Struthio camelus: one gene and its partner. Each later gene encodes a partner of the first gene's protein in a complex. Links are inferred from orthologs where the notes say so. Each region holds a gene or a part of one and is shown in the gene's direction. Other genes may lie near its edges.

What was found.
Region 2: the proteins of ANKS6 (region 1) and ANKS3 are in contact, whole or in part, in a crystal structure (PDB 4NL9), measured with the Homo sapiens proteins. The link is inferred for Struthio camelus from reciprocal best matches to the Homo sapiens genes ANKS6 and ANKS3. Residues at the interface, in NP_775822.3 of Homo sapiens: Glu796, Gln797, Glu798, Val799, Asp800, Glu802, Ala803, Thr806, Leu807, Asp811, Glu814, Leu815; in NP_597707.1 of Homo sapiens: Lys441, Tyr442, Thr470, Leu471, Phe472, Gly473, Pro474, Arg476, Lys477, Arg484.

What each region holds. Positions count from the first base shown.
Region 1 is NC_090943.1:73,346,378-73,363,121, reverse strand, and holds the start of ANKS6 (ankyrin repeat and SAM domain-containing protein 6), read left to right. Parts: upstream 1-8,016; 5' UTR 8,017-8,053; coding exon 8,054-8,400; intron 8,401-10,561; exon of another isoform or gene 10,562-10,692; intron 10,693-10,811; coding exon 10,812-11,314; intron 11,315-15,247; coding exon 15,248-15,292; intron 15,293-16,744. Other genes in the region: GALNT12 (polypeptide N-acetylgalactosaminyltransferase 12), read right to left, coding at 1,375-1,748.
Region 2 is NC_090956.1:18,022,433-18,039,010, forward strand, and holds the start of ANKS3 (ankyrin repeat and SAM domain-containing protein 3), read left to right. Parts: upstream 1-9,649; 5' UTR 9,650-9,696; intron 9,697-13,237; 5' UTR 13,238-13,341; intron 13,342-13,493; 5' UTR 13,494-13,494; coding exon 13,495-13,664; intron 13,665-14,028; coding exon 14,029-14,227; intron 14,228-14,379; exon of another isoform or gene 14,380-14,422; coding exon 14,423-14,544; intron 14,545-14,648; coding exon 14,649-14,730; intron 14,731-15,429; coding exon 15,430-15,565; intron 15,566-15,888; coding exon 15,889-16,047; intron 16,048-16,578. Other genes in the region: DNAAF8 (dynein axonemal assembly factor 8), read right to left, coding at 1-12, 3,321-3,815, 5,019-5,132, 7,535-7,694, 9,392-9,402. UniProt on the Homo sapiens protein: May be involved in vasopressin signaling in the kidney.

The sequences.
Region 1 (16,744 bases):
TCCAAAGAATTCATTCAAATAATTTAAAATCTTCCTACAGAAATGCAACAAGAATAGTCCTTTCAGCCTATGGTGCACGGACTGCTTCTAAGGAGAGAGTAAAAACTAACTGAGAAAAACAAGCCTATTGTCAGGTTTAAATTTACTATAAAAAGACCCTGCACTTACACTGCAAATTTTTAAGAGTTCTCATAGGATTCATGTTTTAGATTCAGCACCTATACACAGAATTGGGTGAACTACTGGACAAGTCAAACTGGAGTGAAGTGAACATATGGCAGAGATAGAGCCTTGCTTTTTCCACAGTTCTCTGCTACCATACAAACCTGTTGCAGTAAAATGAACAACTAGCTGAAGCTAAGCCCAAGTGAAACAGAGGGAAGGACTTTGAGGAGTTCATAGTAGCCATGGCACTCTCCCGTTTGGCTGGAGACACATACCCATAATTGGTCAACTCTATTAGTTTAGACTTTTCTTCTCACCAGCTGGCTGTTCAGTCCACTCTGAGAGGAGTGACTGAACAAAGCAGAGTACTTCTTGCATTAGGCCAGAACTGGTCGTAGAGTCAGACCTGCTGCACAGCACAGCCTCCAGGACTCCTGTGACCGCTGCCTGCCTGTACTAGAACCATCTCATCCACTAGCATTTAATCCTTATTTAAAAATTGCTGATGCCAGCATTCTTGGTCAATTGTCCCAGCAGCGGATTATCCAGAAACAGGTGAAGCCCCAATTTAGAAGAAGGCTATGCACCTCTGGGGGCATTATGTGAAAGCAGTACACTCTTGGTAAATATGTATCTGAATACTCTTGCTGTCAAAACAAGCTGCTCTATACAGTGTAGCAGAAGATGTTTTACTCCAAGTACGTTACTCCAAGTACGTTTACTCCAAGTACTCCAAAGCTGACGTTTAGGAGGCCAAAAAAAAAAAGCTGGAGGTGATTTGAAAAGTATACTGCCTAAATCGCCCTAAACAGCGATCAGTGCAGGGGACAGCAGCAGGAGAAGCACGGCAGGATGCCACGACTCATACAGGCCGAAACGCTGGTGGTGCTAGCGGAGGCAACCAGCCTCTCACGGCTACACCCCCCCCCCCCCACCATCCGCGTATTTACTCGTCTGCCCTTTAGAGGGGCAGAAGCCAGATGAAATGACGCAGGTCTGACTCCGTGAGCAAATACTGGGATCGTAAAGGTGGCGGGCGGGAGGGCGCCGCTGCCGTGGGGCCGGGCCGGGCCAGGCCGGCCGCGCTGCAGCGCGCAGCAGCGAGCGCGGGGCGCGGCGCCGCCCCAGGCGGCGGCACTTGCCGCGGCAGGTGGGAGCGGCCTCGGCGGGCGCGGGCGCGGGCGCGGGCGGGCTCGGCGCGGTACTCACAGCGGGTGCCAGCGCTCGGGCAGGCGGCGGTGCAGCGAGATGCGGTCGCTCAGGTAGATGTTGATCTGGTGGCGGCGGATGCTCTCCTCCTGGCGGCGCAGCTCGGCCGGGCTCAGCTCCAGGCGCACGGCGCGGCCCAGCTCGCCCAGCGCCCCCGGCTCCGCGGCGGGCTTCTCGTACACGGGCCTCCGCAGCTGCGCCGCGTCGGCGGGCGGCGGCGCGGCGGCGCGGGCGGCGGCGCGGGGTGGGGGGCCGTGCCGCCACGCCAGGAAGCCCACAGCCGCCAGCAGCCCCAGGGCCATCAGCGCGCCCCCGCCGCGGGGGCCGCGGCTCCGCTTGCCCCAGCACACGCCGCGCCCCACGCGGCCGCCCATCCCCGCAGACCCGCACCCGGAGAGGCGCGCCCCGGGCCAACTTCGCAAAGTTTTCCCGGACCTGCACAAGGCGCTCAACTGAGCCGGCGCCACCCCCCTCCAGGAAGCGCGCCCGGCTCTGCCGCCGGCTCCTCCCTCGCTCCCTCCGGCCCGGCCCGGGCCACCCCGCGCCGCCCGGCAGCCCCCCCGCGGGGCGGCGGCGCAGCCCTGCCGGCACCGGCCCGGTGCGGGCGGCCGCGAGGGCTCCGGCGCTGCAGGCAGCGAGTCCCCAGCGGCGCCGGCTGCAGCAGTTCCGCTGCTGCTAGAGCAGCGCGCCCTCTCAAAATAAACAGAAAATGAGTCCAGAAGCCAGGGCATTTATGACAAGCTCCTGTTGCATTGAAGAAAAGTGTTCTTGGTTGCAAAAAAAAAAAAAAAAAGGTGACCTCGTAGTTAGAAATACAAAAGACAAATAAGACCCCCCAGTTTGTTAGCAGGATAACGGACGGCCCATTTCATGACTTGATAGAATTGGGGCAGGGGAGGAACAAAACTGGCATTTAATCTAAACTTGACTCTGGTCGTTCCCAGACAGAGAACGTCCCAGGTGGTGCTCACCAGCATTGCCGAGCGATGAATGCCAACACCTTTGATGCTAAAGAAGTGGAAAAAATCTGGTCATTACCAGACAGGGCCATACTGTACAGATTACAATGGGGAATGACAGCTATGAGTTATTTCTGACTTTCCCTAGCTTAGGCCCAAGCCTAGATACTAATAAAAATTACACATGACAGCTAACACAGAGGCAGTCAACTGCTGTGGAGGCCTTGCTCTGAAGAGAAGGATGCTGAATAATAATGAGCGATTGTGTTGCTGGCAAGCTAGCATGTATCAAGTACTTTAAGTGGATTTGGACATAAGTGTGTGTGCGTGCGTGCACGTGTACATATATAATTTAATTATCTCTTATTCATCTATACAGTTATCTAGCATGGATAACTGTGTATAAACATAAAACTGAATTTGGAAGTATATTTAAAAGCCAGAATAACTGAAGCATAATACTAAGGATGTATGTTTGTGTAAATATGCTTGGCAGCCAACTAGTAAATACTAATATGCTAGACATTAGAACATACATTCTGTATAAAGGAAGATAGGCGTAGCAAGCTTTGGACCTGGATAGTTAGTGGCACTGGTAATTGTATGTCCAGTGATTATGTTGTCTTGCTGCTTGCCATTCTTTCTGCACAAAGGAAGCCCAAACAACATTGTTGATACTGAGTTTATAGCTAGGGAACCCTAGTTGCTGGCTAGTGGAGGGGGAAACCTTTAAGATAAAGCCAACATTTCTGGTATATGCTGCTGATTTAGGTTAAGTTGTCTGGAACAAGCAGTCCTGAGTTTTCCCCTTTGTGTTGGGTTGCAAACTAGTTAGACTAGGACAAAAGAAGCAGTAAGCAAATGAGGCCCTTTTGGAGTGAGTCAAAGAAAAAAGGAGCTGCCCATGGACTCCCAAAAGAAATGAATGGGGGAGATTCAGAACAGGTTCAGAGCAAAATTAAGAACAGTGAAAAAGAAAACAGGACAGTTCTGATGCAGAGTTAATTTTAAGTATTAGAACAGTATAGAAGGAAATCAAGAATATAATCACATAATTAAAATGGTTCAGAGAGAGACAATGTGAAGCTGGGAACAAAGGAACTTAAATAATACCCATGTGAAAAGACTGAAGGAGGCACTCTGCAGTCAGCAATAGTCTGTTCTGGGCAACAGAAAGTACCAAATAACGTGTTTCAGAATAATGTTTCTAGTTTTAATAATAAGCAAGACCTATGTACTCTTGAAAAAAAACAAAAATCAGAGGAACATGTGGACAAATATATTGCAGACAGGTAGAAAATCTCCTCAGGGATAAAAAAGAAGATTCAGATGAAGTATACTCAGCGATATACCTTTGGACCCACCGGTCATTGTTCGTAGTCACTTGAAATGGGCATAAAATAGCATTGCCTTGCAAAGCAACAGCCTTGGCTACTTATTCTCTCCTTTGTTAGCACAAGTATGCTTGTATTTTTACAATATGATTATTCATCCTGCTGTTCTACTGGTGCCCAGGATTGTGTTTGTGTTCAAGGTGTGGTTATTTGCAGCAGCTGCAAACGTGGACAAGACATGAAAGGGATAAGGTCCTCAGCGCGCCTGTGTGACTCTGTCTTGCAGGGCGGCCTTTGGGTGTAGAGGGAACTTGGGTGCACGGCGAGTAGGCAGAGACAGAGCACATCAGGCATTTAGAGGAGAGGAAGAGCAGTGGGTACACAGGCCTAAAAATAAAATGGCATAAAAACACAGACTTGACAAGTGAGATAGAAGCTGTCAGCTATTTCAGGGGTCTTGTATCAGTCTGAAGAATACTGGGTAATTCTGATAGGGGCAAGTCAGTGCAAACTGACTGTATTCAGCAGACTATACCTGCACAGTACCTAACCTGTACTATTTGCAGATCTATATAATGCATATATGTACATATATGCACATAAGTATACACACACACACACACACACACAAAATACCTTGCTCAGAGGATCATATGCAAGCTACGACAGCTTAAAGATAGTAAGGAAGTACATGCCAAAGGCATAGAAATACTTGTTATACGTATGTATTGTTGCATATATATAAATGTTCTCTTTAGCTAAATCGCAAGCATGTACTGCAGATATTAGAATAAATATCGCACATAAAGAAAGCTATGACTAGCAAACTTAGTTGTCAGAAACTGTTAAAACAGAACTGCAGCTCTGTGCACATGTTCCAGAACGGACTGTTCAAGGCCTATGATATTTGAAATGTGACCCATTTTTCATACATTCTTGTGTGGACATGGGAAATTGAAATGCAGAAATAGCTTTTGAAAGTTTCAGCAAAATTATGGCATATTCAGAAAGACTTTTGTAAATGAAAGAATTTTATCACAAAGTTATAGCAGATGTTTACAGTAGACAAAATGGAGACCTGTTATTTATGCCATGATTACAAGTCTGAACTAGGAACTGAAGGGGATATTAAGTGGTAGAATTAATCTTAGTCATCCCCCACTATAGGCACTCACTACCATTCTTTTTAGTCATTTTCTCAAAGTTATTTCTATTTCTATGCCTGAAAAGACCACAGTTAACAAATATGAGTCTGATGATACTGGACAAGTATCTGCTTTTCTCTGATTGTGTTTCTAATATGTGTGTCTCTTTTGTTTTCATTTGAGAGATACACAAGATCCTTTATACAGAGCACATGTTAAGAATTTCAATTTTCTTTTTCTCAGAAGTATGACATTCTTGTGATTCACATCAGTAAGGTTTTAGAGTAGAAAATATGCCTTTTACTCCTTGAATAGCCATATAAATATGGCATCGTATTTGTGGATTTGAGATGCCATCATTTCCCCAAACTTTCATAATGAAGATTATGACTGAGTCAGGTATCTCTAGTTTTACGGATTTCTCTAGGAACAGATGTTCTGGCTACTTGCATTTGTCCCTTTCTGAAGCTTTTGATTAGGATTGTAATTCTACAGTCTTTTATATTATGAAACCCTGAATTATTATATGAAGTAGAAATTTTCTCCTGTTTGATGGTATGAGGATACGTCCATTTGCATGATATCCTATTTAGTACTGTAGGAACAACAGAATTTTTTGTCTTATTGTTTGGCCAGTTTATAGTTCTACATGGGCAGTGGCCCATTCACCATGTTATACTTCCTTTACAAGTTGCACAGGCACATTACATGCCCTAATGGTTTCCTAGGCTTTGTTTTGCAAGTGATGAATTCCATCTCTTGTAGGAAGATGGCTCTAGGTTTATCTCTTTTCTCTCACCCGGTAGTATGAATAGCTTTAACAGAGCTTATAGTGGCCCATTTATCTCCCCACTAGGGTTTTGATATCACTTTCAGTGGAGACTTTTGTCAGAATAAATTTCACAAATTTTGGCCTTAGATGTTTGGTCTTGCTTTATCTGTACTGCTTCCTTGGTGTGCTTGTTCTGTTCCTTGCACTTTTTTTTCTGTCTCCTTTAGTCTAAAGTGATTTTTTTCGTTCACTTCCTTTCTGTCATTTTAAATGATACCCATGTTTACCCTAGTGCAATCCAACATTGACTTATCCAAATTAGTATATTGGTAACTTGAAGCCATTTCTCATGAAAACAAATGTGTTTTTCACTGGCTGTGCACAAATGAAGATGCAGTGGACCTTCCAAAGGACATAGTCTGCACTTGAGAACCTTGAGGTTTTTTTCTCCTGTCTTCTTGTTCTTCTAAGAACTCCCTATTTTTGTAACCTAATAACTAGTTGAAAGACTTAGGTTGTTTGCTGTGAAGTCAAATCCTATATTTCCCATTGGGTACTGAAACCCTATAAGAATAGCCTTTGATTCATTTCATAAGAGATTTGATTATTTTTGCCCTCTCAGTGGTATTTTCGTTCTCTATCGGTGGTAGAAGTCACTGAGTGATCATACCTGTATAAACAAATGCCTAGGACTGAAGGCAGCAATGAGCATGAGATGACAACAGCAGCATTTAGCATAAATAATTTCCTCTCTCATTTTTGTAAACCCCAACAAATATTTTTATTACTTCTTAATGAGTCCCTTAAAATAAAAGTTGCATCTTTTGCTATAAGGTTCCTTATTAAATGCATATCTTTGTCTGTAGTTTCAATCCATTAGTAGATTTTGATAGCATAATCATCAGCTACGTAACATAGATCTGTATGATCAACATGTGCAATAGCTTATCTCAAAGATAAACTGGAGTGAGCCTGTCACTAATTAGACGATAGCGAAAGCATGCACTTTGATACGATAAGCATGATGCAGTTTTCTTGAATCCTGAATGATGTATTCCATTAAGTACTCTTTCCATTCCATTCATTCAAGCTCTGAAATCTCACATGAAAGCAATTGTACTGTCCGGTTTTTAGTCATAATGGCACACTCCTCACACTGCAGTAACCTAAGAATGGCTGTTGTGGGCTAGGCCGAGTCTACTCAGCCAAGTACCTTGCCTCAGATGATGGCCAGTATAACCATCTTCAAGCTTAAGGAAGATATTTTCCGGGATATATATAATGGAGGAAGTATGACTATTATTCAGCATCTCTAGGAACTTGTCATATTCTTTCTGTAATGATAAATTTGCAAAGAGGTAAGTCATTTTTTTATTTGCTGTGAGGATCTACTTCTGTCCTTCTCCAGAGAACTGGTACGAGCTGCCACAAACACGGCCAGTGCTCTTATTTATAGAGGCCTTCTCTGAGTGTGTTTTGTTGGGCCCTTTGCCATGAAGATCTTGCAGTCCAGATTTGCAAGTGGATCAGAGGAAGAAAGCCACATACAATGGAAGATACGGGAGGCGCTCTCTAAAACCAGCGGCTTTAAATGGCTTAATTTTAGTGGCATTTGATGGTTTCACTCCCCTGCCCATAATCCCTTCTAGTCCTCCCTTCCCCAAACCCTCCGGCATTGGTCCATTACAGTAAGTAACATGCTATTGAGATGATGCAGAGATTTTAACAGTGATTTGCCAGGACTTACAGGAACACAAATACAGTATTCTAAAATGATTGGTCACCTGCACTCAGACAGTTATTACATTGGTGCTCTTCTCACTGTGGCCGTTATAAATCCATATAATGTGGAAAAGATTCCGGTTTTGGAAAAGATTCAGGTTATCTATGAGGCTGAAGCTAGATAGAAGACACTTGGATTTTAAGGTGGTGGGGGCCAACCACTGCCACAGCCCTGCAAGTCATCTGAGTCTTACACTCAAACTCTTTAAACTGAAAGAACAGCAGATTGGCGATGTCTGGGGGAAAAAATATTCTTGTTGGAGAATCACTTGGCTGCAAATTCTATATTTCAGTGAAGGGTTTGAGTTGAAGCAAAAAAGAAGTAGGAAGGTGTAAGCAAAGGCTGAGGGAGAACATAACCAGAATGGGACTGGCTTGGAAAGACTGAGCTAAATTGCAGAAGTCGTGCTACAAAGTGTGGGGGGAGGGGGGGAAAGGCTATGTTGGGTGAGAGTGAACGAGCTGTATAATGAAGACTTGCTGTGATGGCTGGGGAAAAAAAAAACACGTTAGGGGGAAAAGACGCGTCTCCCGGGCTGGGAACGAGTAACGGCAGCACGAAGCCGAGCCCGGCCCCCTCCGCCACCTCCTCCGGCCGGGGCGGCTCCTCCTCCCCGCTGCGCCCCGCCCCGCGGCCGCGGAGCCGCTGACCCGGGCCGGGCCGGGCCGGGCCGCTCGGCGCTGCCCATGGGGGAGTGCGGGGTGCCCGCGCCGGTGCAGCTCCTCCTCCGCGCCTGCGAGCAGGGCGACTGCGAGGCCGCCCAGCGCCTGCTGGGGCTGCCCGGCGGCGGCGCCGAGGCGGCGGGCGGCGCCGAGGCGGCGGCGGCGGCGGAGCCCCGCGGCGAGGGGGCGACGGCGCCCGCCGCCTCCGCTCTGCCCGTGCCCGTGGACGGCACCGACGAGGCCGGCAACACGGGGCTGCAGTTCGCGGCGGCCGGCGGCCACGAGCAGCTAGTGCGGTTCCTGCTGCGGAAAGGGGCCTCAGTGCAGAGCCGCAACCACTACGGCTGGAGCCCGCTCATGCAGGCCGCCAGGTAGGGGCCGGGGCCGGGGCCGGGGCCGCCGCCGGGCGGGCGGGCGGGCGGCGTCGCTTGCCCAGCCAGGGAGCAGGCTACGTCCGCCCAGCCGTCCTCCCGGCCGGCCCGCCGCGGCCCCCGCCGCCGGGCGGCAGCGCCCACCCCGCGGGGCCGCGGGTTCGCTCCCGCCCTGCCCGCCGCGGCGCCAGGGCTGGGGCCGCGGGGCTGCCGGGCGAGGCCCTGGGGGAGGCGCCTGGGGGCAGCGCCCGTGCGTGCCGGACGAGCGAAATGCCACGTCGTAAAGCCTGGTTAATGTATCCGTGTTCCAAGGGTGGGTATTACGGCAGATGTGAATAGTCACCTGTTTCCTTTCCGGGAGATGACTCTGAGAATGGATTGTCAAGCGTAAATTTTTTTTTTTCCCCCCTTCCTCTTTCTATAGGCGCCTGGGTTAAGGTAGCGTTTAAAGGTGTGGTAATTAAAGCTGTAGGCGAGTTTCGTTAATTCATGAGTAAAATTAGTGCGGAATCGCTGCTTCCCAAGTTTTTGAAGGTAACTTGGGCATGAAAACATTATGCCTCTCTTTCAATTAGATGGAAATAAAATACATGCATGACTTTAATTTTCTGGGTTTTTTTTTTAAATCTACCTGTTGAGTAACCATCTCAGATTTAAAATGTAATGAGGAAAATGGAAACACTTATTTTCACTTGACTTTTCCATATTTTCCTAAATGGCTCATTGGAGAATATGGAAAATCATTTCTTAAAACTTTAAGGACAAAGCTGGATATTTTTCTTCATCTATCACGATAGTTTTGGTATTGCTTGCTACTGAGTTACAGAAGGTTCCAGTATTGTGAATGCGTGCATTAGTGCTTATCTTTACTTGCACGAATAGTGGATTATCATGCATGTTTTGCAAGATTAGGGACAGTATTTCCCTATAATAATTGAATGCTTGAATGAGAGGAGAAATGTTTTTTGTGTTTCATAATAGATTAGAATACTTGGAAGAAAAAACTTTGTTTGAGAGTGAACGTTCTCCTTTCAATTAAAGCCCATAGAAAGTTCCCAAAGAATGAGTCATACAGCTAGTTTTCCAGTAAGAACAAGGAAGACAACATTCAACAGTTTTGTTATTTTATGAAGGTTTTTTTTTTTTTTTAAAAAGGAAGGATAAAAGTTACAGAAACATTATTAGATTTTTTTTTTGCCTTAATGAAAGCCTTACATAGTCTCTAAAAACAATAAATGCAAATCACCATAACTCTCTAATTGTTTAAAAAAAAAAAAAGAAGAAGAAAATACAAAGTCCTTTCAAACATAGGTTTCGAACTATATACACGTTTAATTTTCTGGCTGTATTTAGTCCTGTTGAACAGCATACGTGCATAACATTAACCACATGCACAGTAGTTGCAGGATGTATGGTGGCGACAGGCTCAACATTAATCTACATGAATAGACCTAAGGACTAGACAGTCCCTGGAAGGTTCCTTCTGCAACTGTTTATTTTCTTTTGTCTGCTGTTAGTGGTTAGTAGCCTTCTGTAGGGATTCCTCAAGTAACATTTGTTTTGCTGCAGTATAGAAGAGTTGCTTTCTGAATCCAAGCTTGATTGCATTAAACACCGCACGAGCATATAGTAACGCATGGTATCTGCATCAAGAAGCACAAAATATATCTTATATATGTATTACGTTTATAAAAACATGATATTTCTCCGCAGTTGAGGAGGGGTAAAGGGTTTCCATTTTCTCACCGTTAGCTAGCTGGTTATGTGTGTGGCTTGCATGATTGGCTGTAGCTTACTGACAAATTACTAGAGCTTCTGATAGTCAAGTGGTACTGAGGCTGGCTTAATGGTGAAACTGGAAAGGAAGGGATGGTGCAAATATGAAGACTGTCTAACCATCTCATGAAGTGGCCTGATTTTTTTTTTTTTCTTCAGCACTGATTGGTTGACGTTTTTATTCCACTTATTCACCGTATGCAAACAAGCTGACTTTGATTCCTGACTGTGACACAGGCCTAGAATTGAGAGGATGAAGAGTTTATGGAATTTATGCTTTTGATATCCTCCTGCAGTTAAAAATGAGGCTAGCGCGTTGCTGCTTTGGCCGGGACATCCTCTTAAAGCAGTGCCTAGACTATGGGCGTGGTCGCCTACCTTGGCAAAGCAGTGCAGGAAGGCACAGGCTTCAGCTGTTGATCACTCCCCTCCAGTGAAGGTGACCACTGTCTCATGTAGTGGTGTGTACATGTAATAGCTCGCTCCTTTCCGTTGACTAGTCAAGGAGCCAATTTGGTAAGCAGGTTTTCCATGTTGTCAGAGTATGTCAGTTTTCTGAGAGAAGCTTCTACTACCTAAGGAGTTCATTATCTTCTCTTCCTTATCTCTTTCTTTCTTTCTTTCTTTTTCTCAAGATTTGGACATATAAGCGTGGCTCACATCCTTCTGGAGAATGGCGCTGATCTCAATGCACAGAACAAGTTAGGAGCCAGCGTACTCACAATGGCCTCCAGAGGTGGCCACGTCAGCATGGTGAAGTTGTTGCTGGAATCTGGAGCGTTCGTAGACAACTACGACCATTTTAGTACAAGCTTACTGAGCAGCAGCAGCAGAGAGGACCTACCAGATATCACTCCGCTAATGGCAGCTGCCCAGCATGGACATGAGGCAGTGGTGCATCTGTTACTAGACTGGGGAGCTGACTGTAATTACACTGTGAAGACCATGGGCTGGAGTCCTTTAATGCTGGCAGCTGTTAGTGGAAAAGTGAGCTTGGCCCAGCAGCTCATGGACAAAGGTGCCAATCCTGATCATCTGAACGTACTACATAAAACGCCTTTTGAAATCTCTGTTGGCTTCAAACACAAAGACATGAAGGACTACCTGGAATCTCTAACAACAATCAGACCCCAGACAGGTACAGTGTGTTAACTTTTTTGTTTTGCTTTCCTGAAGTCTTGATTATATATTTGCAAATTGAAGGGGTCGTTTTTTTAATGAACGTTATGTTCTTTAAACATATAATTAAGAGCCTTTGAACTAGGAGATCAACGTTGGTGTAGAAACACCTACCTTGGGTAGGGCAGGCATACCCGACTTCACAGATTTCCTCCATGGTGGCGTGATGGAATTCCTGTTCTGCAGTGAAGTTTGTGCTTGAAACATTTTAAAACGTTTTCTTTACTGTTTATTTTTTTATCTTTAACATGTATGAGACAGATGCTTATTTAGGAAGGAATTAAAAAGGCCTACTTGACATGGCACTGAAGAAAGGATGTCAAAAACTAGAAAGGATGTCAAAGAAAGGATATCATAAACTCAAAACGTACCAGATATAAAATCTAGAAAGCCTACTTTACAGTGAAAGACTGAAGAATTGCAGTCTATGTAGTTCTATAGCGAGGTGGTTATGAGATGCAATTAATAAAATGTCTACATAAGCACAAAAAATCCAATAATGAAGGACCTCTTTACCTGCCAAAGAAAAAATCTTTCTAATGTTAACCTTACAAAATGGGATGGGAAATATGTTTTGCAGTGGAACTAAGATCTGGAGTGAGTTAGCAGAGGTGTAGAATCTCCAGCAGTTGAAATGTCACAATTCAAGATTAAACGTCTTTGTAAAACTTCTGATCAATGAATTAACCTCAGGATTTCATAGAATGCATAAGGAACCTGTTCCTCCCAAACACGCATGCGTGCATACAAACACACATACCTTGTGCTCGTGTGTATACCAAACTAGATTAAAAGCACGTTACTTCAGTGCAAATCTCAAGTAAAATGAAGTTAAGAAATGCTGCTTTTATGATTGCTTTAATTCTGCCCCATAATGCATGCATTATGTGCACTGAATGAGATGAGAGCAGATGAAGAAACGTTCTGTGATTGTGTGATTAAAGAATCTGTGGCAGTAGGGTAGCTGTAGCCATGGTAGTTTGAGGGTATAAGAAGTACAAGATTTTACAGAGAGAGGTAATATCTCATGAGATGATTTCAAGGTTTAGAAAGATGCAAGCAAACTTTGACTACAAATTTTTTTCATTCAGTCTAAAATAGTATATCCAGTACTGCACTCTAAATGATGATTATTCTGTATAGAATAGAATAATATGTTGCAAGTTGTTATTAATAATTTTCTAATTATTTTTACTCTATTTTGAGTACTTGAATTACTAAGCAAGTTCGTACTCTGATAGTTTTCTGCATGTAATTTCCTAGGATTTGTATTAAAGAGAAAGGTTACAACTGCTCACTGTTATCTGTCAGTTTGAAATGCTGATGAATTTAGTTTCTTAAAAATTCTCAGTGGATAAATAAAATAAAAAGTATGAATATAAAAAGATGAATGCAAATTTGTACTGGATATATCTCCCAGATATCTTTCCAAATTAGCTTAGCTTTTATTTTTAGCAAGTTTTATAAAAATGTTATTAATGTCTTATGCCAATTCCATTGAAGTATCATGGATTTGCTGCTTTTTCCTTCTCCAGAAGTTTGGAGCCAACAGAAATGTGTTAAATCTGCTTCTAAAGTGAGACATTTTGCTTTGGTCATTAGAACATCAATAAATCATTTCGAAGTTTGAGACCTTATTCTGTATGTGGCTATTTGGGGACGCATTTCAAGATATTTGTGCTTTATAATGTAGACAGATGATGGGATGTGTTTAAGAAGAGGGTTTGGAAAAGCTGCAGGAGAGGATAGGCATCTAGATTTTTCCTCATTGGAGTACTTGCTTTAAAACCGAAGTATGTGGCTAGCCCTAAAAAGAACATCTGCCAGGTGCTACAACTTGGCCGCGGTGGCTGAAAGCCTGCAGAGTAAATTAGTCCCCCCCATCCCTTTCTGCTGCTTTGCCCAAATAGACTTACTTAAAGCTTACGTAATTATCTCTGTATTACACTGCAGCCTGGACATAGCCACGGTCCCAATACAGCCATGTTTCTCTTGGTTAAAGCTTGTAAATTTTAATTAAATTTGGTGTCATTCTTGCAGGTCAAGCTTCCATTATACTTTAAGAAAAAAGAACAGAAATCTAACACTTCTTTCTGCTTCAGAGAAGATTTTAACTTAACCTATTCCACACCAACGTGTGACCAAGTGGGAGCTCAGACTCTCATACAGCCAAGCCACCAGACAGAACTGGTGAACTGCGCAGACGCTTGTCCACGACCAGTCTCTGACAATAGACATGAGTTAGTTGCAGTATAGAGAAAAAATCTTCCATAATCATCCAATGCAGCTTAAACTGTCAGAGAAGGCTGTTTAACCTGCAGCAGGAAGCTCTGCATTAAAAGCAGATGTGTATTCTTGTCATCTCTGCTGAGGGGTATTTTCCATCAGCAGAAACTTAGTAATTAACTGGGGCAGGGAGGGATTAAAAAATGTTAACCTCCATGGATATTTCCACGGTGGTGTTTGACTGTAGCTTTGATCTTCTGCGAACACCAGAGTATATGGGGGGGGGGGGAGGAGAGGGGGCGGGAAATGTTCTCTCAATCAGATGTAAGGCAGCAGAAAAGGAACTTGTCTTCTGATCCATTGCTGTAGGGAATTGCATCCCAAACACAAGGGGCTTTCATTGCAGGACTGTTTTCAGTAACAAAAATGTGAACTACCCTGTTGTTCCCTGTGTCCTGTCCCTGTCCTTGCTTTGGGTTACGCGGTCTGTATAACCCTGTCTTTCAGCATCTCATCATGGTCTCCTGCTCCCAGAGGCTGCCTCTTGTTCAGGCTTTTAATAAGCCAAATACAAAGAGTCCAGGCCTTTCCTAAACTTGGGTTTTGAAATCCGTTGCCCAACAAACAGTGGGCTCATACAGTTTTTTTCTGTAAGAACCGTTTTTTAACTGGGAACAAACATAGGACCCGTAGCTCCAGTTCCCAGCCTTAAAATATCTTAAGAGCTTCTCATCATTTTTCAGGCTTGCCAGCAATTGCAAATGACTTCCTCTGAAGTCAAGCTGTGAACATTAACCTTTTCTGCATTCTCATAAAAATGGCAGATTCAGACTGAGGAGGTCTCTCTACATCTCCTCGTTTTCTTTAAAACTCTGTTGACACTACAGAATCAATGGGGTAAAAAATGCTTTAGGACGCAGGACGATGAATTTTTCTGACTTGAGTCAGAAAAGGAAGGAGCAAAATAACTCATGGTTTTTTCCTTATCCTACGTTGTGCCAGTGGTTTCAAAGCGCTTTGAAAGTCAGTAAGAAGTAAGATCTTTCACTCAAAATATTTTAACTTTGTAATAATTACTGTTCTTATGTTGAGGATGAAGAACTGGGAGCTGAAGGATCTATGTTAATGCACAAGTAGCAAACAAGCTGTGTGGTTAAATCACCAATATTTTTGTGAAGGTCACAAATTAATCTGGCAAAACTCAAAGGGGGGGCAGGAAGGAGCATCTTGTAAAATTCCTTTTGAGTCACTTTTCAAAACAGTCCTTTACTTGCTGAATGTTTATGCCTATACAGAGGATTACATGATTCCACAGAACTTCACTGTAGCTCTTTAAGTAATATTTTAGTCTCTCAGTTTTGAAACTCAGAAGTTTCCAAATACCGTTTCCTGTTACAGGATGGACACTGAAAAGCAGAAACCTTTACTGATAATGTATTATATTTCGTAAAGTTAACTGTGCACAGAAAGCTATACAGGTGAGCCATTTCTCCCATAGGTAACGTAAAGGTTATGTTGTACTTTCTTTCTTCCTGACTCCATATGTCCACACAAATCTTTTATAGTAATTATATATAGAATTTGTTTACGTTTTTTGCTATACGAATTTTACTAGAAATTTTTGGTTTTGTAGCAGTTGTTAATAAAACTATTTATGTCTTTCCAGATACAGAAAAGAGGCAACCTGATGTCTTTCATGCTTTGAAATTGGGTAAGTACTGACAGGATTTTTCCACGTCTGGTTCTTGCAACTGCAGGGCATGCCTTTTTGCTAAAATGGGAAACTGAGACAATGTGTTCTGTTTTTATATGTTACTTTGTTTTTTTTCTTATTTTTCTTTTAATTTAAAAATAGAATTATTTCTGTAGTCTGAGTTTACAGCTTGTGGTTGTGTCCTTCATGCCAAAATGATGTGATTTAGTAGTTCCAGTTATTCTAAGTCCATGCTTGCTTTAAAAAGCTCTTTTCTTCCTGATAAACTTGAAGCATGAAAACAAAAGCACTAATTGGTGCAAAAATATGTTGGCTTCTACTCCATACGAGCGTTGTAATTGCTCTTTAAAGCTATTTCAAGAAAAGAGTAAAGATCTTGCCTGTGTTCTCATGAGTAACAGTTACTTTTCATGAGCACGCACAAAATCTGTTCTTTGGGAAATGGAAAGAGCCGGTTCATCCTGTTGATTTCAGTTTGATCCAGACACTGATGGGTTGCGCTCTTGGTGGATGGCAAAGTGTTTTCTGGTTACCTGTTTTCCTGAATCTCTCAGCATAGGAAAAAGTGCTGAGATGATAGATTTGACCTGAGTCTTGCCACCTGATGGCATAGAATTGGGAAATAGGACTCTTCCCTTTCTGCTGAAGTTCCTCATATATCACAGGTTAGAAAACTCTGCACTATTTGTGGCCTCTCTGACAGGGTAGAGAGGTTTGAACCTTATCTGGTTTCTGTTCTTATATTTGCTGTTTTGCCATGCAAATATATTCTCAGCTATTATAACACCTGCAGCCTACTATTGCCTATCCTAGCTGTATGGACAGTCAGGAAAACTGACTGTCATTCAGCAATAAAAAAGTTGGTTCTTAAATATATTTTTTTCAAACATTGAAAGATACTGTTCTCATGTGAGAATAAATTTCATGTTCAACGAACTCCTGAGTTCACTGAGACCTATGAGACTTATGAGAATCTCTCAGAGGGTATCCTGTGTGCTTGTATTCCCTCAAGTCAATCTGCCGTTACTTGGGACTAAGATGCCCCACGCAGTGAAGAAACATTTGTAATACAGGTCCTGGAGAATGATGGACAGGAACCCTAGTGCCTGTGCAGTTAGCAAGTTTGCTCTGCTGGGTCGTATCTGGAGTGGCTTTTGCAGAGCCAGCTACAGCATGTTTCTCTGCAACATGCTCCCAAGTGTTGTGCGTTCCAGTGGACTTATTTTTGAGTGGACCAGGGATGAATGCACAACAGATCAGATCTGTAATCTGAGCTAATATGTCCTCCTGCCGCAGCACTCAAGAATGGAATATAAGCTCTGCAGCAATCTCTGCTGAGCTAGTACTCCCTCCAGAAGCCTGGAGAGTTAGGCAGTGAAGGCAAATGGAAAACACCATGGGAATTAGGTGTCCAAATTGTGATCGTTTAGTAAGTCCGAATGGACCTGG
Region 2 (16,578 bases), on another chromosome or scaffold:
TTTCTCAATATCCTGAAAGAAGACCATCAAACAGGGATGGAAAACTCACCCCCAAAAGGCTGCTACGGCATAAAAGTCCCTTTGAATCACAGTCCACGTGGTCACTCCATTAGATTCCTCTGCCACACATAAGCACCTGGATAACATCTGGAAGTTTCTCCTATTTATCCCAGTACTATGCTGCCATCACTTGCCAGTAAATGAACCAGTGCACCACTGTAGACACAGTTGCTTCAGCGTGAGCCTACACAGTTGAACACGACTAACAAAAGGATATTTACTGTTTGAACATTGCCTGCCTCGTGTTACTGTCACGGCTCTGCACATCTGGCAGGGTAAGTGCAGCACAATTTCTAACAGAACTCAATGAAGGATCTAACTGATGTTCAAATGCCAACTGTCTCTTGCCACGCTTGGAGAAAATGCAAAGCCTCAACAGATGCTTCTAAAACGGACTGAACTGGCAGTGCCTTAAAAAGAGAAACATAAGCCCCATCTGACCCTTCTCTCCATCAGCTGGAGCATAGCCTATTCTCCATAACGCTCAGTCTTAACGCATCTATTCACATGCTGAAATTTCTTTATAACAGCAAGTGCTCCTCCTCTTCCCTCAAACCCACTAGCAGTATCAAAAATACCCATATCTTATTTCTCTCCCTCCATATCTCCAACTACCTTTCCTTACCCTTTCATTATCTCCAGGAAAGATGAGGGCCCCATTAACGCTGCCATTTTGCGATGTTAAAAAGTTACACTGAGAAATGCTGTAATGAAAGGGAAGCATTTACACCATCTCCTTGGGTACTGCATCTATCCAGCTGCCTCATCCATTTCTGCTGAGGCCTCTTCAGCACTCTGAAATAGACTACAATAACTAATGGAGACAGGACAACGGATGAAAAGATGGCCTGATACTTGTACCAAACACACAGATTTTGAAGCTGGAAAGTGCTGAGCACTTCTTGCTCTCGCTGACATGGGAAGGCCTTTCGGCTTCTCAATACTTTTTGAGATGAGGCCCACAACCTTTTCTTCCTCCTCCAACTCCTGACCAGGGCTTATTCCTGCTCCTTTAAGCACAGTCAACAATAGCTGTGTTCTCACAACTGTTTACCCAAAATGAGAAGATGGGATGATCTCAACAATGCTGTTAGTTTGAATACTTAGCCATGCACACACTGGCTGAGGGTATGCTCACACGGCATGCTGCTAATTTAGGTATGAGAACCAGTCTATCTGTGATGACACCGAGATCCACAAGCATTTAAAACACTGATTGCTTTCCCCTGCTGAATATTATTTGAAATGTCATTTTTCATTACAAATGTCTGCATCTAATCTGTGAAATACCATCACCAGAATAGAGATTACTTAAAAATACTTACGATTTTTTAAAAAGGAAGTTGGCTATCAGTTATGACATATAATTATGTCACAACTACAACAAAACCATGCATTTTATACGATCATTCAAGCCTTTCAGAAAAGCAGCACCAGCCTCGAAACAGTTTCACCTTGTAAAAAACTTCATTGTCTGTCACTCTCACCTAAGAGATGATGTTCACTCTTTCCAGACCAATAGATCTCCATGGGTAACTGAACCACGATTAGGTCTATTCTGATATTACAGTCTGCAGGTGACGAAAGATAAAAGCCTGATGATAGCCACAAGCCTCTTACGCTGACATGAAACTAATCTTGGTTCAGCAATATCATTTAGATGTATTGGTCTGGAAAGGGTGAAGAGTGACAGACAACTGAGCTTACTACCCCGAGAAACACATCACAGTTCAGTACAGGTGCTGTTTGACAAAAGGCAGCTGTGAGCAAACAACCTGAAGGGAAACACAATGTGTGCATTTGCTTTAATTATAATGCAATCAGTCCTTAGCTTATTTTTAAAAATTGTGCTTAATAATTTAATATAAATCATTGTAATAAAAAAATCAAACCGTCACGTAACCTGCTGCATTACTAAGTCTCTATCCTCTGAAACCTTATTCACAGAAATCAGCATATTGTAAGGTACTGTACCGGGTCCCCAAGAAAAATAAACGAAGATCTGCAGGATTCAGCTCCTAGCAGAGAAAGGAACTTGAAAATATACTTTGAGAAAGAAAAAAATCAGTTTTAAATGAGTCTTAAATCTTAACAATTAGTCTTAAATATGGTTAGAATAAACAAGAAATTACATATATGAGTTTTAATATCTTTAAAGTTAGACATAAATTGAGTCATCTGTCTCAGCTGGGCCATAACAACTAGTTTTCAAATCTAAACACATGCCCCGTGTACACATACGATCCAGTTTTATCCTCGCTTGCACAAAGATACAACACACTGAGCCTGGTCTTAGCACTCACCCAGAAACATCAAATTTAAGTCCACTGAAGTCAATGTTATCAAATACGTACTGAAAGGAGAACCATACCTCTAGTATTACTAGAGCAAGTGACTTATGCTAGGTGAAGTAGGAATTAAACACCTGAGAAAGATCTCCTCCAATAATTACATGATTAAGCAATGCAGCATAATTCACAACACAGGCAGGCGCCTGTATTTTGTGCCTAAACTGTAACGGCTCTAACTCCAAAAAGGAAATTTTTCTGGGAGTACAGATGAAAGAGGAAATGAGACATCTGTAATTTGACTCCATGGAAGGCTTTAATCAAAAATATCATGTTCTCATGCTTCTTGCTGACTAAGTCTAAATGATTTTTTAAAATCAACGTAGGAACTAAATAAATATTGTCGCGAACAATCGTGTCAATGCTGGGACTATGTGCCAGTCGAGTGCACGTGAACTGGTCAGCTCATGAATCTAAGCACTTGGCTTAGGTGGAAGAGGTTCAAGAAGAGACACTTAAGTATTGGATTTCAGAACATTTCTTCTCACCTCTAGCATTAGTGCAGTACCACAGAAGAAAAGTCAAGGTGCAAGAAAGCCAGAAACCTCATAGTTTTAATGAAAAGTCTTACTGTGAACAGAAACCATTCACATCTTCCCAGGGACAGACTTTGTGGTTGGCTTTCCCGAATATGAACACTACCATGCTGCTGATCAATGGCTTTCGCTACTATTACGAACTTTCTACGACAGCTCTATGGAACAAAGATCAGGTATTTTTGGTTCTGTGTTTGTACAGCATCCGACCCAACAAAACCCCAGTTCATGACAGCAATAAATGCAACAAAGAATGCTGTGGTATGTGCAGAATTCAGCATTTTGGTTCTTTATTTTAGTGCAATTCTGTATGCAATACACTGTCCGCCCTACACATGAACATCACCCCTTGAAACCATTTGTTTGGCCCACTTACCGGCAACGACAAATGGGTTAGTTCTTGAGGATGTTCAGCTGAGGAAGTTTGCTCCTTAGTGATTCGTTCTAGAACGCTGCTAATGCCCTCCAAGGGTGGCTTCACTTTCAGCTCTGGGTGGCCTGGTGATGGCTCCAGAAATATTTTAGAGAGTATTTTTGTCTCTATCAGTTTTCTTCTCTCTTTTTCACTGCCTGGATCTTCCATAGACAACGCTGTATTAAGCCAAAATTCCCCTGTTTCCCCAGCTTGTCTCTTGCTCAGTTCTTTCTCCTCAAGATGGTCTGTGGAATCTGCAAAAGATCCTTCAAGAACCGTTCCCTTTTGGCCTGGAATTTCTTCAGTATGGCTGGCAAGACTGGAAGTCTCATCTTTAATCACTTGCATATGTTTTTTTGCAATGACTTGGACACCATCTGTTTCTTTCTGCAAGCCAAAACTTTCCAGGTTTTCATTCCAGACCTCCCATGGATGTCTTGCTGTTTCCTGTATTTGCTACAGGTAGAGCAAATACACATGCAAAAAAATCACATCTTCTTACTAAGCTACAGAAGTGGACAATAAGCCAAAACAAAGTGATTGGCAGACAGCAATTCCAAATCAGACACCATCTGGTAGCAGCACACAGCATGCTTTGTCACAGAAAACAGTAAGACTGTTTACTTTGCAAAGTCTCTAACTTCAGAAAACGCTAAATGCCCTTGAAGTTAATTTGCCTTACGTCTGGTCATAACGTGATGTCTTACACCAAGATAAACGAATGGGAAAAGCAGCCCAGGAAGTTAGTCTTCCCATGATGAAATAACAGAGTCAGCTGGCTTATCTTCCAGCTTCCTGTGATGACTAGTCTTCATCACTGCAGATATAATGTAATCATTTTATCTCAGAACAGCTGTACAAGGGACTAAATTCATACTAGTCCTCTTTGTCCTCCATTAGTCCTCCACATGTCCTACTTCTACGTTTTCTAGATACATAAAGTGGTGGTTGAAACTATAGCAACCACTGAAAAGTTTAGAAGCCGTTACAGAGCATTACTGTTAACGCATGGATGCTTAGTGGCTTCACAGAGCCCTCATCCTGAGGGTATGAATGTTCAGCAACTGAGCTGCAGGCACCGAGTTTATTACAGAAAGGTCCACAGACTCAGCGAGCAGCATCTTCTTCCTTAACAATTCAGTGTTATCATCAACCCATAAATATTTGGATGCTCTTTCTGACTAGTAGTTTGCTCTCTGTTTCACCCTGGGCACCTGCTATTACACAACAACCAGTACCTTCCTCATCTTCAATAGGTACATTATTCAAAATATGTTTTGTTAGATTTAGAAGAGGCTGAAAGATTTCTTGAGAGACAGGACCATGAGTAAAGTGAAGGTTAGGATTTTAGAGAGGAAGAGAGGAGATCCATAACGTTAGGAACTAAGGAGTGTCATAGGTCTTGACAAAAGAGTAGAAGGACAATAATAGAAACTTCAGGAAGAGGAGACAAAGGAAAAAAGGCCTAAATCTCCACAGCAGAGAGAGCTTACAAGAGGAGCTATATAAAGAGAAAGAAAGTAGTACTGGGGACTATGCTCTTACATGACACAACTCAGTCAAATAGGTTCAATAAAAGTAACTACCCACATCGCAGACAAACAAAAGAGTGGGGAGGGGGTTTAACGGTAGTACAGTGTGCACAGAATAGTCAACAACCTGCATATTTGAGTCTTCCCAGGAAAAATCCATCAGTTCTTCTGACAGGTCAGGAATTAAGTTTGGATGTTCTCGCTGGAAGATGAAAAGCTCCCCATCGCTCTCACAATCAGACTGACAACAAAAAAGAGAAATTAAATGGGAGACTCTAACCTCCAGCCAAATATCTGTTTTGTAGTGACAAATTTCATCTTTTTACCACTTCACTAAAGTTCAGAGACAAGAATTTTCTCTTCAGTCACATCTTCACTAGACAGTCTGATTCAGCAACCTAGGCTGTCATTACAGCGGCCTAGCATTTGAGCAAGCTACCTTAGTAAAAGCTACAGAAAACATTGAGTTACCATGGAGATTGATGACTAACATCCCCCTGTGCTAAATAAGGACAAGAGTGGGCAAGTCCTCTAACTCCCAAATGATCCCATGCACCTGCCAATTTAACAGACTACACTGCCTCATTCACTATTCAGAACGCAAAGCAGTATCCACACTTGGTTGGACAGAGTTTAAATAGAATTGAAAATCTCTTTCCTGAACATTAAGATACATGATTGACATGAATCTTTATGCATAGACACCAAAGTGAGATTAAGCACCTCCTCAGCAGACAGTCAGGACCCAGGTTTCCTGTTTGTCCCTTTGTTTTGCAACGTGACACTTTCAGCAACTGGCACTGTGGAGAATTCTCATTGTTTGGTGTGATTAGTTTTACTCACCATGGAAGAAACTGCAGTAGAACTGCTTTCCTCTTAATAAGATGCATATGAGGGTGACCAAAGTACCCTTTGGGCATAAAGTACTGTTTGTCATTGCCGTTTCTGAATATAGGACCGCAGCCCATTGAGATTAGAGAACTCAGATGCATAAATATATCTTGACATGAGCAGAAACCACTCAGGCAAAGGTGCAGCACTGAAACCACAGTCTCAGCAGGCTACTGTTTTATATCAAGCAGGAGAGGGATTATACAATCAGATCTTTTGAATGCAAATTAAGGGCAGCATGTAAGTGCCAAACAGATTGCCTCAGTTCCTCCAGCAGGAAATGTGCTCAATATATAACAGAAACAAAGAAAATCTGGAGATCATTTATAGAAGTAAAAAAATGTTCAACGTGATTTACAGTTTAGAGATTGGTACTTGGCACCAAAGCACAAAGCTATCCTTCTGTCATGACATTACTGTACACTTATGCAACAAAAACGCCTAGAACTCATTCCTGAGTCTAGGGCCTTAATGTGTACTGTACAGACACACATTAAAATGCAATGCTTGCTTTAAATAACTAAAACAGAACGTAGGCAGAAGGGAACTGAGAAAGAGTGAGGCAATATGATTTGTCCAATAGGTTAGTGATAAAGCCAGGAACAGATATCAAGTCATGGAACCCATATCAACTCTTTACCCACTAGATCACGCTGCTTCTGATGACTGACTAATAATAGGTGCTTAATACCCCATGGAGACACTTCCAGCCCCGTCACTGCTCACAGGACTCCCTTTGTATGATGAAGAGGCACACTAAGTTAGGAAAAAATATTTCCCTTAAGCGTTCAGAAACATTTTCCTTCTAGAAATACAGGTTTGAAAACTAAGAGAATATTCTGATCTGGACAGAACGCCACTAATACTCAGTCAAATCCTGAGACACACGATCACCTCAGGAAAGCCACTACGAGAGCTAGCATCTCAGACTAGCGAGGTATACACTTGTATTACTGCCACCAAATTATTGCTGTCCTGTGAGCAGAGAACTTCCAAGTTATCAAGTGGCCAATAAGCAGTCAGTCCCAGACATTGAGACACAGCAGGTAAAAAACCTGTAACAGTGAAGAATACTGCACAATACTCATCAATCTCACACTTTATATTAAAAAGGTAAGTGGCATTATCCTCCTTTACACGTAGAATTGAAGCATAGAAAGGCAACATAGCTTGCTAAGAATTACAGGCAACGAAGAAAACAGAATCCAGGATTTAAGTATCTGCCAACTCCTTCTTCCAGACGACCACAAAGTCTTCAGAAATATGACTTCCCTGCAAGCATCACACATAGGAAAACATACTGACAGGCCTACTGCCTGGCCAGTACGCTTTTTGAATAACATTGTCAAGGATAAAATCAGAATAGATTTCATTTTAACACAGCTGTAAGTTTCTTTCATACTGTACTCTTTGCTGAGCAAACAAAGACGACATGTAGGCTCATTCTGTGAGATGCCCACTACCACCATCTTCCCACTTTGAGACTACTTAGTATCTGGGAAAATCAGTGCCATTTTTAGGTTCCAAAGAATGCAGTGAAGTGAGGTGGCAATTACATCCTGACCATTAGAGCTAATGCAGAAGGCTGATGATTAATGAACACACACTACAACAGTACTCAGAACAAAAAAGCAGTCCATCAAGGACACCATGCTAGCTACTCAGAAATGCCTGGCTAAGGAAGTGACCTTCTCTTGCTTTTGAGAGATTTTTCTAAAAAACTGTGAAAGAACAGTGGGTTCCCGTGCTTACTGTGGAAGTGTCAGAGTCCAGAGATGGGAGCTGATCTTTCACTGCAGCGAGAATGGCTCCCCACTGAAACGCTCTGTTACTCTGAACAGGAGCTGTAAGAGGCTCAGGTGGACACTCTGTATCTTCACTTTGCCTTTCTGAGGCCATTTGAACAGCTTCCCTTCAATCAAATGAAAGATGAGCTTGGTACACATCACGAGAGAAAACAAATGATAACATCATTACAAAGGAAGAACAAAGCATGTGTATTCAGGGTCAACATAATTCTCAACACTCACAGGGTTTTCACTCCCAGCAATGAATGATAACATCTGCATTCCTGGAGCCTTTCCTTCCCACCTGAGTTCCACAAGGCCGAGAGCTTTTTGCCCTACTCACCATATACATACATAAACGGGGCCATCCAGGGGTCATTTTAACCCCTCATTTATAAAGCAGATCTTGACTGGGCTGATTTGTAATTGTGCTCTCAGAAAAGCACATTCTCACTGCCCACGTCAAGAGGCAAAGAGGAGGCATGACACCTCTGCTCTCATTTGGTCTTTAACTCGCTTTCCCATTTCTCCTCATGTTCCCTCCCCCTCCACTATTCAAAGACTGATAAAATGATTTACAACTGCTTTTTATCACTGGATTTGCATAAAAATAATTTCCAGTCGCCATGCTCTTGGATTTTGACCTCTCAAACTCTTTATAGAGTGAATGCCTTCCTCATGTTTTCGCTGATGTACAAGAGGAGTCAAGAAAACACAGTAGGGGCTACCACTGTGCTTGTTAGATAATTAAACCTAATGGAAGACCTTTGCTTTTCGAATTTCTGTGCTACAATTGCATGGTTCCCTGGGGAAATCAGAAGTGGGAGTAAATCAGTTCCATTTGGTAAGAAAGGCTAAGAGATTTATGACTATGTGGTTCAGAACTGAGTTGATTATTCATATCATTACAATATCATTATGACGTGCATTGGCATGGATTGACAACATACCTCTCCGTATAAAGGGAAACTCATCTTATGCCCTGGGAAGTTCACAACTCACAAAGTCCCGCTTCACAAAGCAAACGCTTCCAGTGCCATCCACCTACAGCCTACAGTTTTTTTTTCACATGAGGTAATGCTGGAATCTGATTTACATAATGCTCGCGGGGTGTGGGGGGGGAATCACCAAGACTGAAATATGCTCACATAGAAGTTTGCTGAAAGGAACAGGATTTCCACGGAAAACCAACCACTTACTGTGGCTTCCCCTGCCACCGGGAGAAGCAAGGCCAGTCTCCCAAGGTAAGGGCCGGGATGCCCAAATTCAGGATGCTATACCGGACCTGACATCATTCATCTAACCCAATACCTCTTCTCCAAGAGCAGGCAGTACCGTGTGTTAAGCAAAGTGCGAACAGCCTTATGTCAGACAGCTCTAACGCTGCCACCGCTGTCGGGACCCCAGGACGAGAAGGAGCGCGGGGCAGCGCAGCGACGCTACCGAAGGGCCCTCAAGATGGCGGGGCGGCTGCGCACGCGCAGCTCCGCCCCTCGGCCTCCCCGTCGCCACGGCAACGCCGCCAACGGCTGCGGGCGCTCGCGCCCCGCCAGGCCGGCCCGCCAGCCCTCCCCCCGCGACCCGGCGCCGTGCCCCGCCGCGGGCCGCCACCGGCGCCCGCCCGCCGCCCCGCGCCGCGCCGCCCCTTCCCCTCACTCACAGCACCGCCCGGGCGCCTCCGAGGCCCAGCGCCGGCGCCGCTCCCGGCCCCGCCCCTGGCCCGGGGTCCTGGCAGCTAGCTGAACCAAATCGCCGTAACTTATGTGAGACGAGAAAACGGAACGGGCAACCCAAAGAGAACAGGGTTATAAAGCGTCTATACCTCTGCCTCATGCCCCTCGGTGCCGTTTTTGAAACTCTTTTTCCCCTGCCTCAGCGCCTCCCGGGGGCCGTGCGCTCTGCCAGGACCGCCCGCCGTTGCGCGGGGCCCGCCTCTCCCTGGCCAGCCGCCGCTCCGCCGTCGGAAAGCGCCGCCTGCTATTGGCGAGGCGCGGCAGTGGGCGGAGCAGCGCCTCCGCCGCGAAGGCTCTTGGGGCTTGTGGTTTCGTGTCTCTAGGGGTTACGGGCTCCCGGCATCCTCCGCGCGGGCGGGGCGGCTTCCGGGAGCGGAGCCCACCGGGCGAGCAGGTGAGGAGCGGCGGAGGCGGCGGTGTGGGCCGGGCCGGGCCGGGCCGGGCGCTCGCGGTCGGCCACGGGGAGGCCCCTCCGCGGGCCGGGCCGGCTCCGCGGCGCCCGGCCTGCCCCGCCGCAGCGCTCCGGCAGGGCCCCGGGGGAGGCGGGCGGGCGGGCTGACGCGCTCGGGAGCCGCTGGGCCGCGCGGGCGGAGGCTTCTGCCTGCCTCCCCCCCGCAGCCGCGGCCTGAAGGCTGCACCCGAGCTTGTCCCTCTTCGGCCGCCCCGAAGGAAACGTGCTTCCTAGCGTGGCTGTTGAAGTGCTTTCAATTCCTCTTTTACCTGGCTCTGCCAGACAACTCTGTTTTGTTGTTTTCGGGGTTTAGTGTTTGTGTTAACAGCTCTGTGAGCGTCACGCCTGTGTTGCAGGCGAGGAGCAGAGCAGCCCTGGGACTTGTCTGCAGGCACGCATAGGATTGAACACAGGCATGCTGGGTCCTCAGCCACCACTCATGCTGGGAGAAAACTTCTTTTCTCACACCTACTTAGGTCGTGGTATCATCAGTCCCATGAAATCCAATGCAGTTCCCATAAATGTAGTGTGTGTACCTGCCTCCGGTCAGTCAGCAGAAAACAGCGGTCTGGATATGAGATGTCACAGCTCTGGGAGTGCTGGGTGTGGAGGCTGAGCTAGTTACAGCTGAGCTGTTTGAACCTTTGCAAGGGTGTGACAAGGCTTCTTGTTTTTGATAGCTTCCAGCTGAGTTTAGTGGAGATGGTAAAGGCTGATGCAGAAGTGAAGTATGTGATCAGCTCTGTGGTTCATTTGGAAACTCCAGCAGTGTCCAGACTTGTGCTTTCTTGGGGAGGTATTTCTTGCCACAGCAGGGCCTGTTTGGCTGTTTCCTCATTACCTATGCTTGGGGAAGAGCTTGGGAGTGAATTTAGCAGAGTCAGTGCAGCTTAATGGTGACTGATGGGCAAGTGATTAATATGCAGTGTTGGACTTTGTTCTGTGATGGAGGTTGTTTGCCCTAGTTTCTTCTCAAATTGCCTCCTGCTTCCTTTAGTATTGTTTTTTCTACCTCTCTTTCCATCTACTGTCACTTACTCCTTCCTAGCCTTATCCTCCAAAAAGGGGATACTAAGGTGCTGTTTAGTGCAATTTTCATAATGAATTGTCATGTACTTCCCTTTCCCTACTTTCTGGTTACCTTGTCTGCTTTGACAACCAAGCTCTCTGAATCCAAAACACGCTATTGTTTGTGATCTGCACTGAGTCTCAGCATAGTACAGCTCTAACCATGGTGATAAGCTAGGTGTTGGTATGTTAAGTATAACTGATTAATAACCAGACTTACAGGGCTAAGGAAGTTCTCAAAGGAATGTCAAACTTAATTACTTAGCCCCAAAGCAAGGACAGCCTGTACCTATTCCAGGGGTGTTCTGGTACTGTTGGTTTACTTTCAGAATAATTTCTGTAGTCTTTAACCAAAATCTTCCTTACTACAGTTTAAACTTATAGCATCTTGTCGTATTCATCATGGGCACAAGGAACAAATTACTTCTTTCCTCTTCCTGTCTGCAGCAGCCTTTTCTGAATTTGAAGGCTGTTACCACATGCCCTCTCCCGGCTTCTCTTCTTTAGTCCAGACAATCCTGATAGGCGTAGTATGTCATAGTCTTTAGGGCTATGATTGTTTTTATTGTTCTCTGGATTCTGCCTGGTTGTCCTCCATATTTTCGTCGGGGCGTGTGCAGCTGGCATCATGCTCCAGCTTAGTATGCCAGGGTGAAATCTCATAGTAAAAGATGATGTAGCCAGCTAGAGCATGGTGGAGACAGTAGGAAGGAGGCTGAGTCTTGAATGTTTTGGTCTTAAACATAATCTTTTTTTGTGTGTCAATATTGTCAACATCCTGGTAGAGACCAAGCATCTGTAGTTTTTACAGTTAACATTCATTTTAGAAGAAGGTATGGAGAGAATACAGGGAGCTTCATTTTCATCTGAATTGGCTTCTCCAAGTTGTCATGGCTTTTACCTCCTTTAAGCGTGAACATGACTTTTTGCCTTCCAATGGTAGCTTTAATCTGTTGCAGTAAGAAATACTCCTACCTTTTTCCCCTGCCATCCACTTATACACATTTATATCTCTTTGTATTTTGATTGTGAAGCGTTCAGGATGTGGCCTGTCTTTTATTTGTATTCAGTCCTGTATATTCTTGCCTTTGTGTTGCAAGTGTAATAGAAATAGCTATTATTGTGTAAAACATGTGCCTCTGCAGATATGCTTTAAAAATGAATCATTTATTAACTAGCACACCTTTATTAGGTAGCACGGATGATGCTTTTTTAATCTGAACAAACTTCGGAAGAAGGAGGGGAAAAAAGGCAAATTCATGAGAGAAAAGATCCAATTGGGGAGTGAAGGGTGTGGGAGTTGAAGGCCTTTTTCTCCTTTTGTAAGAAAAGGGGCTGGTGATTGCAAGAAAAGGGCTCGGAATTCTTTAGAAAATCCAAGGATAGTCTTGAAATGTTATGGCTGAGGCAATCTAAAGAGCAACTGCTGGTGGGGGAAAAAAACATGCTCCTTTTCTCCTTTATTCTTCACTGACGCCAAATTTGGCATTTACATGACCCTGCAAAGAATCGGTCTGAGGAGATAAACTGGCAAGAAATTATCAGGAAAAAAAGAATAGGTTTTGCTGGCTTAGCTGCCCAACATAACATGTGGTGGGATCAGGCAAACTCCAGAAGTGGTGCATGGGAGGTGGCGAGAATACAGGGCAGGTAAGGCACTCCCCATTCGATTGACTTGGATGTAGCCTGAAACTGCAGCTGAAGAGATCAAGTGATAGATGCAGCTGTGTCAAACAGCTTTTATGAAGTGCCAAACAAGAACGTTCTCCTGTGAGTGGTTAAAGTGATTAATACGCAATTGCTCCCCAAGGCTAAGGATGGAAAATAAACCTTTCAGACAGTCATGAAACTGTGCTGGCTTTGTAATTAAGTTACTGTCTGCAATACAGTGGACACACTCAGATAATGGAGGGGCAGGTGTGTTGCACATCAAAGTGTGTTTCAGCCATTTCCAAGACTCACAGAGACAGGACTGCTAGGCTGCTTCTAAAATGCTGAAACAATAAACAGTAAAAATAACCTACTGACAGCCTGATGACATAATGAAGTGTTCACTCTCTGCAGATGATATTAACTCCTTTTGATAGCAGTTGATAGCTGTTATTATTAATGAGCAGGTAGTAATTTAAGCAGGGCTATTCTGCAGCATAAGACAGATGTCTCTGGTATTTTCCTGATGCATGAATTCTTAATTCTCTCTGAATTATAAACCATACAGGCCAGGAATTATGTCCTTTAGTATAATACGAAGCATGCTGTCAGCACTTTAAGAGTTTAACGTCGTTTCTTGACAAAGGCTTTCAAAAGTTGCCTTCGGCATATTTTGGTTAGCAGGGGGAAGAAAGAAATGCTTCTGAAGTCTTAAAATCAGGTTTGAAAGATGATTTCTTAGTATTACTGTTTTTTATTTTTCTAGTGTATACAAATTCCAGGGTCCGCTGCAGCAAATTGCCAGCAAAGCTGCTCGGCAAGTCTTACTGCTCCAGGCTACAGCAAGCTAAGGAAGGGATTAAGGCAAAGGTAGGTGTTTGACATCTCATACCTCAGAGGTGACCTCACTTTCCAAGCCCGCAGCATCTTGAAGCTGTAGAGCCCATGGGTGATGCTATGTTAAACAGAGAAGTGAGATCAGCCAACTAAAAGTTCCGCTTTGCTTTGGTTGCTCTGGGCAGGATGTCGGAGCTGAGCGATGAAGCCAGTGAGTCGGAGCTGCTGAGCCGCAGCCTTTCTATGTGGCATGGGGTCGGTCAGATGATCTGTCGAGAGGAACTGGATGTTCCCTTGGACTTGCATACAGCCTCCTCCATCGGCCAATATGAAGTGGTACAGGAGTGTATTCAATGGTAAGGAGGGTTGGAGAGGGTGCAGGTCTATTCTTATTTAATTCCACTCATGTTTTCTCGCTGGCTGTCGTTCCAGTCTTGTCTAACACTGGGACAAGGGCACATCATTGGAACTTCTGCAGTGTTTTTGGGCACAATGTTGGGCACAAGGTTGGAAAGGACAGGTCTTCTGGTGAAAATTATCACCTCAGTTATTGGGTGAAATTGTTCTAGAGCTGATACGAATTCCCATGTGGACAAGACTTCGGTGCTAGAATTTTTTTAACCTTTCAGTGCAGTGATGGTAGCAAGAGGGTACAGGAACCTACTGTGATCTACAGCTCCAGGCCAGTGCTTCAGCGGAATTCTTTTCTTTGTTATTTAGTGGAGAACTGGATTTAAATAAGAGGAACTGTGGTGGCTGGACGCCACTGATGTATGCCTCCTACATTGGTCATGACACCATTGTGCATCTGCTGCTGGAAGCAGGAGTGAATGTGAACATCCCAACACCAGAAGGGCAGACACCGCTCATGCTGGCCTCCAGCTGTGGAAATGAAAGTGTTGCTTATTTCCTTCTGCAGGTGCGTATCCAGTAATAAATAGGTAAAGCCACCACTACATGGTTTACATCTACAAAGAGTAGGGTTCTCCATCACTTATGACCAAGCTACAGTTTTTGCTCTGTTGTGAGTTCAGCTTCCTGACAGGGATTTAAACTTTCTTGGTATCACAGCACAGAAGGGATGCAGTAAAGAACATTCTCTGTTCTCTTGAAGCAAGGCGCAGAGCTGGAGATGAAGGATATTCATGGCTGGACAGCCTTATTTCACTGTACCAGTGCTGGACATCAGCAGATGGTGAAGTTCTTACTGGATAATGGGGCAAATGCCAACTGCAAGTAAGGAGGAATTCATCTCCAAAACATGTCTGTAATATTTCAAGTATGCATCCTCTTTGATTCCAGCCCATGTGGATGTGTTCTTTCTCTCTGTCTCTCTCTAGGGAGCCTGTGTATGGATATACTCCTCTGATGGAAGCAGCTGCTGCTGGCCATGAGATAATTGTTCAGTATCTTCTCAATCATGTAAGTGTCTGGCGGTTCTCTGTAAAGCTGAAAATCTGTGATTCCAGGCCTCAGCGAGGGAAAAACTGGGTGTTTGATGCCGGATTTCTTAGTGTTATGTTTAGTTCTTGATGAGTCACCTCTGAAGACCCAAGCTTCCAGAATTGCTCTGGAAGCGTATTTTCAGAAGGCTAGTGCCCTGATTGTACACTGGCTTTGCATGAATAGAAGTGAGATCTAACTGTCCAGAGTTGACTAAATAATGACTAAATTGGTAAACAACTAATGCAGTTACCCCTGTGTTGTGTTTATAGGCTTGTGTGCTCTTGCTAGTGGGCATCTTGTGCCCTCTGTCCTAAAGCTTATGGACGCTCATGTCTCTTGAGGTTAAATAGCGCCTTTTTAATATCCCATTTAATTGGTCCAGCTTATTTCCAGAAGGAAGCAGCAAGGCAAAAACATATTTTGGATAAAATGGACTAGTTCCCTGTGGCAATGCACAAAAGCAAAATACCTGGGCAAATTGGCATTCCAGGACTGGAGACACTAGCTAATCAGGAAAGCAGCAAGGGATTAGTTAGTGGAGCTTGAACTGTATATCAAAGATGAGCCTGTATTTCTGATGGGTTTAGAGGAAATAAGACAATTCTTTGGCTCCCTTGAATTTTATACATACTTCCCCTTGCTATATACATGGTGTACGTGTTTCTTTTTCTATAGGGAGTAAAAGCAGATGTGAGAGATAACACGGGAGCTACAGCACGAACCCTGGCCATGAAGTATGGACATATGAAGATTGTGGGGCTGATAGACTTGCATACAGCCCCAGTGCCCAAAGTCTTCTGCAGGGGTCCAGGTAACAGAAGAATGGTTTGGCTCATGCATCTTTAGAGAGAGCCTGAAGAGAAGTGCTTGTTGTTTTGAAAGCATGTAATTACTTGTGTAGGGGTAGTATTAGCTGATCTGCCCTGGAAGTTGCAGGACTTCTGAGAATGAAACAAGCATGGCAATTTTGGTCTGCTGACCCCTTTCTGACCTAGTTAACCTATGTTTCACCCTCTCTTTTAACATTTCCTTTTTTTTTTTTTTCTCTCTGTCTGTTTGTTTTTACAGGACTAGTAGCAAATAAAGCAGATAAATGAATTAACGTGCCGCTAACAGTTTTTGTTTTGACCACAGGAAAATATGACGATCTCAGTTCCTCAGATGAATCATGTTCTGCTCCCCAGAGACAGAGACCTGTTCGTAGGACCAAGGGTCCCAGCATCCATGAGGGGCCCCAAGCTTTGGCTAAGATAACAGCAGTTGGAATCGGGGGAAAGAAGCAGTCTCGTTATGGTGAGAAAAGTTAAAATCTAAACCAACAGTTCTTTTTGATCTCTTAAGTACTCTGCAGCTATTTCTGTGCTTTTTTTGGGGGGGGAGGGCGGGGATGGTTCCTGTGTGGCTTGTACAGGAAAAAGGTAGCAAAAACACTCTCCTACAGGGCTATACAATCTCTGGTTTAAAAATAAAACATCTGAACTTTCTTGTCAGAGCTGGATATTGATGAGTGCTTCACTTATCAGTGGAACAAATGCTGCTGTTAGCTTAGTCACTGCTTAGCCCTGACTCTTAAACGGTCCAAGTTCCTTTTCTGAGGTAGATTTAAAAGTTTGAGAGCAGTTCCTAAGCTGATGATGGAGTAAGCAGTTACACAGGCCAAGATATCATTGATAGTGAAAGGGAACTCACTGTTCCTAGACCTGTCAGTTTTTTCTTCAGTGACACCTGAAATACTCACTACTAAAAATGAGATTAAGACCTGTGTAACAGGCAAGGAGAAAGGTGGTCCTAGTTTAGACATAAACCACTAGATACAATGGTATG